3 linked regions of the Oryctolagus cuniculus genome follow. The protein of the gene in region 3 purifies or fractionates together with the protein of the main gene of each other region. This does not show direct contact. Links are inferred from orthologs where the notes say so. Each region holds a gene or a part of one and is shown on either strand. Other genes may lie near its edges. The genes, in order: DERL2, DERL1 and SELENOS.

Region 1 (4,341 bases), on a different chromosome or scaffold from region 3:
ACAGCCATGAGAGCACTGAAGGAAGGAAACAACGTGAGATCACAGGACGGCGTCCCGAATCATGAAGTTCTTGAGAATTAGTGAGTACTACAGTTGAAATCACTCAGTCCTACAAATTAATTCCATCTAGGACTTTAAGGTCCTCATCCTAATGAGACAAGCATACGAATAACTGCAAGTAAGGGTGAGACATGCTCTAGTGCAAAGAATGGATCCAAGCAGGCCCACAAAAGATGCGCCTTGAAAGGCAAGACAGAGGCACGGGCACAGGGAATGAAACACACTTGGGAGAAAGGGGAGAGGGTGTAGACAGGCAGAACTACTGCCGCTTGGGCCTCTCCTCCACTCCAACTTCAGCCTCAATCATCATCCTAGCGCAGGAAAACACATGTCTAGCTCAGCATTTTAATCCACTCCCCCGTCATCTAATAAACTAGCATGGTGTTTTAGATGTTGGCTCTTTGGAGTTTTGTTAGCATGATCTGACCCCTGGAAAATGGATCAATTTTTTAAAGCACTAACAACTCAATTTTTGAACTGGCCCATGGCGAAAACACCAAAGTGGTGGCTGTGCCAAGGTAGGGAATGAACAAAATAAGGTCACTCCATGAGACTCATCAGACTCCTCCCAAACTACTAACACTTAACTGTAAACCAGCGATACACAAATACAGAAGCTAGACCCATCACAAGCATACAGGTTTTTAGTTCCTACCCTTGCTGACTGTGATTTGGTTACGCGATGAGGAGTGTGAGGATCTCTTAAAAGTTCCCTAAGTGACCCTGAGGGGACTCTGTGAAGCTGCAGAATCGCTGCTTCACCAGACTTAAAGTCAAAGATCTTCACTGGGTTATTTTTCGAGACAGCATATGATAGGGTTTGCTACGAAACATTAAGCAAGAGAAGAAACGGGACCATTCCTCACAGTTGCATTGGGCTACTTACTTGAAAATGCTTAAAAATCAACTCAGGATTGAAGTACAACTGAAAAGGTGTGATCAGTTCCAACTGCTGAAATGAAAAAAGAGCTGCTTTCAGCACGTCAATCAAGAAACACAATTCCATCCTTTATAACAAAGGATGTAACAAATTCCAATTCTTAGTCACTCAGGTTGAATTCCTTTAAGTGTTTCTTCTTGGGCCAGAAGAAAGGGTTGGTAAAGAATTCCCTACATTGATACAATTCTTGCTCTTTGACACATAATACAAAACTAGAAAGATTGGGGTCGACCAGGTGTAAGTAAGAATTCTTACGGTGGCCAACACTGTGCTGTAATAGGTGAAGCCTCCACCTGAGACGCTGGCATCCCATGTGGGCCCCGGTTTGAGTCCCGGCTGCTCCATTACAATGCAGCTCTCTGCTATGGCCTGGGAAAGCAGCCCCGGTTTGAGTCCTGGCTGCTCCATTACAATGCAGCTCTCTGCTATGGCCTGGGAAAGCAGCGGAAGATGGCCCAAGTCCTTGGGCCCCTGCACTCAAGTGGGAGACCCGGAAAAAGCTCCTGGCCCCTGGCTTTGGACCCACCCAGCTCCGGCTGTTGCAGCCATTAGAGGAGCGAACTGGCAAGTGAAAGATTTCTGTTTCTCCTTCTCTCTGTAACTTTGCCTTTCAAATAAGTCTTTAAAAAAAATTTTTTTTTTTTAGAAAGGAAAGACTGCAAGGTGGGCATCTGGCACCGCAGATGACATGAGACACCCACATCCCATTATCAGAGTGTCTGAGTTTAAGTTCTGCTTCTGCTTTGGAGTCCAGCTGTCAGTTAATGTACACCCTGCGAGGCAGCAGCTGATGGTCCAAGTACTTGGGTCCCTGCCAGCCAAGGTGGTAGACCCAGATTGAGATCCAGGCTCCTGGCTTTGGTCTGGCCCAGCCCTGGCTGTTGCCAGCATTTAAGGAGGGGACCAGCAGATGGAATATCTGTCTCTGGAATTAAAAATAAATAAATAAAAATGCTTAAAGGGGGCAGAAAAGGAATTTACAAATGAAGGTCTTAAAAAATAGTTTTAGATTGCAACAGTTGAGGCCGACAAGGGAGGCAGGCAGGCGGTGATATTTTAGACACAGGACAGTTGGGCGCAGTTGCTAAGAATCTGCTCATCACACGGGCGCCAACTCCAACAGCTGGGTGACACAAGGCAGTGCCTGCAAATAACCAACCCTGGAGACCTTGCCACTGTTCCTCCGGCCAATCCCTTCTTTATTTTAAGACATTTCCCTCCCTACAATGCTCAACTTTCTAGCCTCAATACTTAAGTTTCTTCGCTACGCGGATCTGCGTCCCACCAGTCACCACCGCGCTACCACCTGGCCAGCGCCGGAGCTCCTGGGTGGGCGGCGCCCGCAGCTCTGACCCGCTATTGGTCCGACTTTTCGCTCTCGGAAACCGACACGACCCCTCAGGGATCCGCACATCTTCCTGGGGTCGCTCCGCAACCCAGAGTGAGCCCTGGTAGACCTCCACCCACCCCTGGGACCAGCCCCTTCCGGGCCTGCCGAAGCCCAAACTCCAGTTTCCGCGAGACCCAGTCATGTTCAGCCCGGATAATTAGAAGGTGGCTCTGCAGCTGCTCACCACGGCGGCGGTGGTGAGGACACAAGCGGTAGTGTAGGCGCGGCTGACCGGTGGGATCTGCAGGTACTCCAGCCGGAGGCTCTGGTACGCCATCTTCCCCACCGCCGCCTGCCCCCCACTTCCCCTTCCGCCAATAGGCCCGGGCGCCGGGGCGGGCTCCTAGCGCCCGCGGTAGCCTATTCGCTCCTGTCCAATGAGCGCCGCGCAATCAGCCAGCTACCAATCGTGGCGTCCCAGCCTTACTTCTCCGCCCACTGACGTCAGCGAGAAGCGACTGAGTGTCGGTACCTTCTGCCAATCCCCGCTGGCCACAGCTAGCTTTCCCACCTGACCCCTCTCCGTCACCAATCAGGATGCCCCTGCCCGACCGGACAGCCAGCCAATCAGGAGAGGGACAGCATCCCGCCTTTGCTTTCGTTCGCGGAGGCGCGCACCGGTCCGCATTTGGGTCAGCTCTCGCCACCGCCCATCTCCGGCAGCTAGCGGTAGTTTAAAGGAGGTGGCGGGAAGTCGGTGTCTGGTGGACCTCATCGCCCTGCAGGCCGCAACGGTAGGTGCCACGGGGCTGCATTTTCTCTGAGGAAGCGCGGAAAAGGGGCGGGACTGGACTAGGCATCCTAGCGGGGGCGACGGGGCGGCCTGCCGGGTCCGCCTCGCCGCCGGCCTGGCCGCTAGCTCCTACCTGAAGGTCCCGGCATGCCGCGGGGCCGCGGGGCCCGACGGGATGCGGGCTCCGGCCGGAAGTGGTTCCTGCCCTGTGGCTTCTGGGTCTTGTCCGGCGTGGTTGCGGGCTCTTTAGAAAGGAATCAAATAGAAGGCTGGGGTGGTTTCTATAAAGGATGTGAAATATTATTTACTGAAGAGCAGAAAGATGAGACAGACAGTTATCTCCCATCTGCTAGTTTACTCCCCAGATGTCTGAAACAGCCCAAACTGGGCCAGGCCAATGCCAGGAGCCCAGTGCTCCATCTGGGTCTTCCATGTAGGTAGCAGGAACCCAAGTACTTGAGCCATCACCTGCATCTCCCAGGGTGCAGGTGAAACCCTCCCCCCCCCCCCCCCCGAGCATCACCCTCACGGCTTGTTGATAAAACAGTGATGGAACCTCGACAGAGCTTCGGCCGTGCCTGGTAGAGAAGAAAAGCAAGATCGGATTTTTTTTTTTTTTTTTTTAAATGGAAGGTTTGCTTCAAGGGTGGGTCTTTCAGTGTAGGGGCTTGATAAAACAGTCTAGGATTGTTGGAAATGGCCAGGCAAGGATTTCAGAGAATCTTAGGGTGCAGATTGTCCGTGCTTCCTGTCGAAGCTTTGGTCCGTCTTTGGGGGAGTTCAAAATGATCCAGCCGTTTGAATAAGGAGACTGTCCTACTCTCAGAATAGTAAACTCAGAGTAGTGTAGACATCGGGGGCCTGGGGAGAGAGATGTAGGTAGTTTGTAGTGTCCGACCAGTGTGTGGGGCTAGGTGTTTTGGTTTTTGAAAATATACAGCAATTTCACACATACCAAATTGGCAACAGGTAGAATGTTGAGTTTGTCAAGGGCTGACAAAGATATGAGAGAAACTTACTTACGTGCTGCGAGTGAGTGTAAAGCCAGTCTGGATGTGCTGGCGCTCATTTAGGAATATTTAGTGAAACTGTGTTTCAGTAAACTGTGGCCCAGCAGTTGCCTGAGCAAAGGCCCTGCCAGGCCCAAGGGAGACCTCCTACGCAAGTGCTTGTCACAGTTTTCTGGCGGTGAGATGCCGGAGGCAGACCAGGGGTCTG
Region 2 (3,598 bases), on a different chromosome or scaffold from region 3:
TATAAGATAATTTAAGAAAGGATTCTTACAGCGTACCCAAAGCATCACACAGGGATTCATATCGGACGCTACCACATTACTAAATCTTGGCTATACATTTCAAAGTTGAGTGTTTCAATTAGAGAGAGCAATTCTAGGCTTCTAATTGCACAAAGTAGTACTTCTCAAGCCCACTCCAGACAACATATACACTCCAACCCAATTTTGCACTAAATGACAAGGACTGCTCTACAACAGAAATGAATGAGATCATCTAATCAAGTGAGAAGCACACAGCTGAGCCACTAAGAGACAGGCAGGAAACGTAAACCTCTAATATGTTCTTTTTTCAGCTAAAAAAAAAAAAGTGCTACTTATACTTCCTGACATTTTACAGAGTAAAGGACAAACAACTTCAGTGCTTAGCACAGTCCTGGCATTCACTGAGCAAACACAATCATTACGCCATTTCTTACCAAATGCTACCTGCCCTCAAAATTCCTCCAAGAAAAGAAACATATGAATTAGCAAATCAGAAGAAAAAAATATTTACATCTACAGATGACTTACCTGTTTCCAGGCGAGTAGAATACTGATACAAGAAATATAAATTGACCAAATAAAGAAATCCAGTTCCTGGACCCACAGGGAAATAAAAGGTGGCAGTGATTGGCCTCCAAATCTGTCAAAATCAAAATAAAGACATTTGTTAGTTTTTCTAAGCCTGATTAATTTTTTTTCTTTTAACTAAATTAACCTTTGCAAAGCTTTCTCAAAATGATACTACCAACACAATTCAAAACAACTGAAGAAAAGTTCATATAAATTACAATCACATCAATTTGCAAACCAATGGATAAGCAATAAGTATTTCTAAACAAGCTCTTAAAAATCAATGTCTGGCCCTTTGGCACAGCAGGTTAAAGCCACAGCCTGCGGTGCTGGTATCCCATATGGGCACTGGTTCTAGTCCTGGCTGCTCCTTTTCCAATCCATCTCTCTGTTATGGCCTGGAAAAGCAGCAGAAGATGGCCCAAGTACTTGGGCCCCTGCACCCACGTGGGAGACCTGGAAGAAGCTCCTGGCTTCTGGCTTCAAATAATCCCAGCTCCAGCCATTGCAGCCATTGGGGGAGTGAACCAGTGGACAAACGACCCCTCCCCCTCCCCCACTGCTTCTCCCACTCTCTAACTCTTTCAAATAAATAAATATATCTTTAAAAAAAAATCAATGTTATAGAAGTACATGGTTGGGACAGGTGTTGGGGAACATTTAGGCTGCCTGTGTCCTTTATCAGAATGCCAATTTGAATCCCAGCTCCTCTATTCCAATCCAGCTTCCTGCAAATGCATCCTGGAACGCAGCCAAAGACGGGTCATGTGCTTGGGTGCCTGCCACCCATGTGAAGACGTGGATGGAGTTCTGGCGTGGCTCAGCCCTGACTGTGGCAGGCATCTGGGGAGTGAACCAGCAGATGGAAGATCCCTCTTTCTGTCCCTCTTTAAAGTAGATGATGATAAATAAACAAACATTTTAAAAAAGAATTACATCTTTAGTTACTGAGATCATACAACTAAGCCTATGACAAAATGAATTGCAAAGACTTCTTTCCCAACAGTACAATAATTTCATAATATCTCTATTTAGGAATGATAAACCTTATTCAAAAATGTCATACTCAAAAAGAATTTAAACAGGGATTTTTACTAAAAAAAAATTGGCTAAATAGACAAAATGAGCACACATGACATAAAAACCATTACCTGAACAAACAATACAGAAGGATCTGCAGTAAGAAATAAGCCTTGTTAACAACAACTGATGAGGTTTTTGTACCAATATTATTTTCAAAAAGTAACAGGGGGCTGGCGCTGTGGCATAGCAGGTAAACCCACTGCCTGCAGTGCCAGCATTCCATATGGGCACCAGTTCGAGTCCCGCTTCTCCACTTCTGATCCAGCTCTCTGCTGTGGCCTAGGAAAGCAGTGGAAGATGGCACCTGCATGGGGGACCTGGAAGAAACTCCTGGCTCCTGCCTTCAGATTGGCATAGCTCTGGCCATTGCGGCCACCTGGGGAGTGAACCAGTGAATAGAAGACCTCTCTCTAAGGTAGCAACGAGGACAGACATTTGGCCCAATAGATGAGATGCCTGTATCCCACATCAGAATGCCTGGTTTCGAGTCCCAGTTCTACTCCTGATTCCAGCTCTTGTTAATGCATACCTCAGAGGCAGGAGTGATAGTGAAGTAACTGGGTTCCTGCCACCTACGTGGGAGACCTGACTGAGTTCCAAGCACCCAGCTTTGGCCCCAGCCAGGGCATGTTGTGAACACTTGCAGAGTGGATGGAACAGGAGCTCTCTGGATGTCCATTTCTCTCTGTCATCGCTGCCTCTCAAATAAATTAATTAAAACAAAATTAAATGTAAGTAAGTGTATCCACCATTTATCAAGCTTATGAAATATTTTCACTCCAAGAATATCAAAGTGCTCACAGCTTTATTATAGCACTTTTCATAGTTCATCCAAGGAGTAAGGAGGAAATTCACCTTCTTTTTCTAGATGGTCACTCAGTTTCCCATTCCCATTGACAGAGTGTCCCATATTTCCTCCAATTACTTAAAAAAACTACTTTCACTGAATATTTATTCTATTTTATCTTAATGTCTATTTTAGACTATCCTGCTTGAAACTGAGGTCTAGACCAATACCAAGTTGTTTTAATCTAGTTCTATAATAAATTTTAATATCTGATAAAGTTGAATAGTTAAATCTTCCTCCCCTTTTTTATTTATTTATTTGACAGGCAGAGTTATAGACAGTGAGAGAGAGAGAGAGAGAAAGGACTTTCGTCAGTTGGTTCACTCCCCAAATGGCAGCTACGGCCGGTGCTGCGCCAATCCAAAGCCAGGAGCCAGGTGCTTCTCCTGGTCTCCCATGCGGGTGCAGGGGCCCAAGCACTTGGGCCATCCTCCACTGCCCTCCCCGGGCCACAGTGGAGAGCTGGATTGGAAGAGGAGCAGCCAGAACTAGAACCCGGTGCCCATATGGGATGCCGGCGCTGCAGGCGGAGGATTAACCAAGTGAGCCAAGGCACCGGCCCCTCCCTCCCCTTTCTCTTATTATTTTGTCTTATTTTCTCTTACTATATTGTCAATCTTCTTGGTTAGTCTCAATATTTTATTTTTCTGAATGAATCTAAACAATATATTGGTTATATGGACACGATATTGATGTAATTCCCACCCTAGAAGCTTCTCATAGCTTTTTTTTTTTTTTAAGGTTTATTTATTTATTTGAAAGGCAGAGTTACAGAGAGGCACAGGCAGAGAAAGAGGTCTCCCATCCACTGGTTCACTTCCAAAATGGCTGCAACGGCCAGAGCTCAGCTGATCCGAAGCCAGGAGCCAAGAGCCTCTTCCGGTCTCCCACTCGTGTGCAGGGGCCCAAGCACTTGGGCCAGCCTCTTCTGCCCTCCCAGGCGATAGCAGAGAGCTGGATCAGAAGTGGAGCAACCAGGACTCAAACCGGCACCCACACGGGATGCCAGCACTGCAGGCAGAGGCTTTAATCTCTAAGCCACAGTGCCGGTCCCTCCCATAGCTTTTAGGGTTTTCA
Region 3 (4,076 bases):
CCCCTCCACTCCCCATCCCTCCATCCTTCCATCCCTCCTCCCCTCCATCCTCTCCACCCCTCCACTCCCCATCCCTCTATCCTTCCATCCCTCCTCCCCTCCATCCCTCCACCCCCCACCCTCTATCCCTCCATCCTCTCCTTCCCTCCATCCTCTCCACCCCCCACCTCTCCTTCCCTCCACCCCTTCACCCCTCCACTCCCCATCCCTCCATCCTTCCATCCCTCCATCCCTTCACCCCCACCCTCCTTCCCTCCATCCTCTCCACCCCTCCACTCCCCATCCCTCCATCCTTCCATCCCTCCTCCCCTCCATCCCTCCACCCCTCCATCTCCCACCCCTCCATCCTCTCCACCCCTCCATCCTCCACCCTTCCACTCCCCATCCCTCCATCCTTCCATCCCTCCACCCTTCCATCCCCTCCACCCTCCACCCCTCCATCTCTCCATCCCTTCACCCTCCACCCCTCCATCCTCTCCACCCCTCCATCTCTCCTCCCCTCCATCCCTCCAGCTGCCTGCAGCGTCCCCTGGTTCTTCCTCGGCTTCTCTGCTGACCTCCTCTTCCAATCAAATCCTGCATCCTAAAAAATCTTCCAAAACTGTATCCTCTGCTCCCACCTGCACCTGTTAGCACGACCCTTGCTTGAGCCGTCTGCTGTCCTCCAGGGCACCCCACCTCAGGGCCCTGTGACACCAGCTCACAGGGGCTACGGGGCGAGAGGCACAGCGTGTCTGTGTGTTCTGCAGCCCGAGACCCGGCCAGGATGCTGTGGGGTGACCAGCTCTGCGGAATGCACCAAGCAGGAAACACTGGAACAAAAGCCTCCTGTCTTTAAGAGTGCACACTGCACAACCAATGCACGCTGAGCCGCACCCAGCTCGGTGGGAGGGACTGCCACAGGGACTGCTCCCAACAGGCACGGGCGAGGGGACAACCTGCTCCTGCACTGTGGCAGCCACACAGCCGTCCCTCCACGCCACAGCACGTCTGCCTTGACGGCACCTGGATTTGCAAGTGGGCCCAAAATACCCACTGCACCTGATGGAATAGGCCCCTGTCCTGAAGCTTACAAACAACAACACAGATACACTCACACACTCACACACTCACACACACACACACACACACAGAGCTGTCATGAAGCCTCAGTTTCAGACGACAGAGCAAAACCAGCTCATACCTGTCTTAGCTTTTCCTTATGCTTTTCAACTTGCGCATTGAGTTCCTCTTGCATTTTCAGGCGAGCGGCTGCTAAAGCCTCCTGCCGTCTAACGACAACATCGGGTTCTAAAACGGCAGAAAAGACTTGAGGTTCAGCACCAGGTACAATTAAGATGGAAACCCGCATGCACATAGTAGAAGCAGAAAAGGTTTTCCCACAAGCAGCTCCGTCCTCTGCGTGTATTCTGCAGCTGAGGGGCAGGGGACTGGACCATCGCCCTACACTGCATCTGCAAGCGCAGGTCTCTGAGCCCCTCCCGGCAATGCCAACTACAGGGCTGTGGGGCAGTGGCCCCGCGAGCAACACGCAGGCGGTCTGCTGGCCGCAGTGAGACTCCGTTACACAATGGGGAGTCCTCCCTAGCAGGGTGGCCCGAATCCAGCTGTCAATCAAGGACAGAGTTTTCAGAATCCTCTTCCATCGTCTCAGCAGGTCAGGCCTGCGACAGACAGAGGTGAGGGCACTCTGGGGTTCCTTGACTAGAAGTGACCACCCCCGACGAAGCCCTCTCCTCTCTGGTCTGTATGTAGCCTGCACCTTCCCCTCCGGACCAACGACAGCTGGCTCTGCACAACCGCACCGCTGGCCGACGCGACCACGACCTCCGGGCCTGGCCGGCAGGTCTGGGACGCAGTGCCTAACCAGTGCAAGCGTCACCACTCAGGGGAACTAGAAATCGGGTCTGATGGGCGATGTCGTGACAATCAAAATGTGGCGCTCCATGCTCCTTGGCATAACTCGAGTTAGGAGGCAAACCCATCAAGGGTTCATTTTAACCCGTGCCGTAAACGAACCACCACTAACAGGCGCCGCCCTGAGTGCTGTGCGTACCATCCGGCCGATTTAAAATCCCAGAAATTAAAAAAAAAAAAAAAAGAAAAAAAAAAATACACCTCCCATGCCCCCGAAATCAAGTCCAGGCTCCCACGCCCCTAACAAGGACTAACTGGTGCAGGCTAACACGGGATCGCGCACTGACCCAGCGCGGCCTCGGCGCCGGCCAGCTGCCTCTGCCGCAGGCCCCGCAGGCGGGTGGACAGCTTCTGCAGGACGGCGTAGAGGACGATGCCGCTGAACAGGATGTACCAGCCGTAGCTCGCCAGCACCGAGCCCACTGCAAGGAAGAAGACAGCCTTCAGAATCGAGAGCCGCGCCCCCGCCCGTCCGCGGACCTCGGCGGGCCAGCCCGCAGGCTACAGCGCCGGGACCCCCGAGGAGCGAGGCCTCTCAGCCCCCTGGCAGGTGACAGCGCCGGGCGTCGGAGGCCCAGGACGGACCCGAGCGGGGCCCGGGGACAGACACCCGAGGGGCTCGCCCGCCGCGCCGGGTCCCCGCCGGCGTCAGCGCCCGGCCGCCGGTTAGGCCTCCCGGGGCCAGGGCCGCGGCAGCACCGGGCCACCCACCGAACATGGCGGCGCGCTGGGCCGCGGCCCGCGGCGACTCACCCGTGACGTGCAGGAAGCGCAGCCCCTCGGTCTCCAGCGCCGGCCGCGCGGACAGCAGCTCGCCTTCTCCCTCCATGACAGCCGCCGCCGCCCGGCCGGGACGCGTCGCCTCCAGCGGGCCGCTTCCGGCTCGTCGCTGCGTACACGTGGCGCGCCGGGACGCGACCGCGATCTCGTCCAATCGCGGCTCAGCTTGTGGCAGAGGGGGCGTGGTCGGGGGCGTGGTCAGCCCCGGAGCGGCGGAAACCCGCCCAACACGTCCCGGGCGGGGCCGGGCCCGCGGTGGGTGCGAGTGGCGACTGACCCCTTTTCCCTGATTTTTTTGCTGCATGCGTGCTTTCTTCCTGCTTGGACCCTGAGGCCCAGGAAGTGAGGATGCGCGCGGAGGTGGGATTTGCGTCCGTGTCCTTGGCCCGGGCGCACTGGGCAGCGGGACTCAGGGGCTGGCGACCCCCAGCCACCGAGGGCAGCCGCCTGCTGCCGGGCAAAAAAAAACCCCGCCGACCCTCGGGGTTCTCTGGATCAGTACCACGTGGGCCAGAGTCTTCTGCACGGTCTGGCTCTTAGCAGGTGTCCTGGGGCGTCATCCACGGCTCACGTGACACCGCTCATGCCCACCGTATCCACCGATTTGGAAATTTGACCTCAAGCCGTATTTATTTTTATTTCAGAGACTTGAGCACCCCCATCCCTGGGTCGCTGCCCACATGCCCGCAGTGTCCAGGGCTTGGCCGCGGAACTCCATCCAGGTCTCCTACGTGAACGGCGGGGATCCAGCCACTTCAGCTTCCACGGGCTGCTTCCCAGGGTTCCCGAGGGCAGGAAGCTGGGCTCGGGGACCCAGGGCTGGAACCTGCGCACTGCCACGTGAGATGCAGGTGTCTTGACCACTAGGCCACACCTGCACCCCGAGGGTTTCTTTGAGAAGCAGTTGAAGCACACATACCGACTTGTATTTCAAAAGAGTCGAGGTTCAGGAGCATAACGAATTGAGAAACTAGGGAACAGGTGGTAACATCAGAGTTTGCCACCTGTCGTCACCAGGGTGACTGCAGTACAGTGAGATGAGGCACAGACCCACTGCTCTTCCTTGCTGGTGTGCAGAGTCGTTGCCCGTCCCAGCATGCCCCGGGGGCTGGGAAGCAGATTCCCACTGTGGCACTGGAGGTCACGGGCCACATCAAGTCCAGGGCCCCTTCACCTGACAGCCACCTTGAAAATGGCCTGACACCGGGAGACGGAGGGCTCTGGATGTGGGAGCAGGCCTGGGAGGCTGGCCGAGTCTGGGGAGACTGGGAAGGGGTTTACTTGGTGCCTTGATGCCTTCCTCCCACTTGCAAAGCGATGAACCTTCACTCTGCTCCAGAGTCTTCTCACTTGGCATCTTGCTGGAACTCTGATTACTC

What was found.
Region 1: the proteins of SELENOS (region 3) and DERL2 purify together in Homo sapiens (affinity purification with western blotting; 3 studies listed by BioGRID and IntAct, with this or other methods). This does not show direct contact. The link is inferred for Oryctolagus cuniculus from reciprocal best matches to the Homo sapiens genes SELENOS and DERL2.
Region 2: the proteins of SELENOS (region 3) and DERL1 purify together in Homo sapiens (affinity purification with western blotting; 6 studies listed by BioGRID and IntAct, with this or other methods). This does not show direct contact. The link is inferred for Oryctolagus cuniculus from reciprocal best matches to the Homo sapiens genes SELENOS and DERL1.

Annotation. Positions count from the first base shown.
Region 1 is NC_091448.1:50,846,026-50,850,366, reverse strand, and holds the start of DERL2 (derlin-2), read right to left. Parts: upstream 2,817-4,341; 5' UTR 2,668-2,816; coding exon 2,575-2,667; intron 1,013-2,574; coding exon 947-1,012; intron 1-946.
Region 2 is NC_091437.1:148,811,644-148,815,241, forward strand, and holds part of DERL1 (derlin-1), read right to left. Parts: intron 662-3,598; coding exon 550-661; intron 1-549. UniProt on the Homo sapiens protein: Functional component of endoplasmic reticulum-associated degradation (ERAD) for misfolded lumenal proteins. Forms homotetramers which encircle a large channel traversing the endoplasmic reticulum (ER) membrane.
Region 3 is NC_091443.1:10,471,459-10,475,534, forward strand, and holds the start of SELENOS (selenoprotein S), read right to left. Parts: upstream 2,804-4,076; 5' UTR 2,747-2,803; coding exon 2,629-2,746; intron 2,340-2,628; coding exon 2,205-2,339; intron 1,291-2,204; coding exon 1,184-1,290; intron 1-1,183. UniProt on the Homo sapiens protein: Involved in the degradation process of misfolded endoplasmic reticulum (ER) luminal proteins. Participates in the transfer of misfolded proteins from the ER to the cytosol, where they are destroyed by the proteasome in a ubiquitin-dependent manner.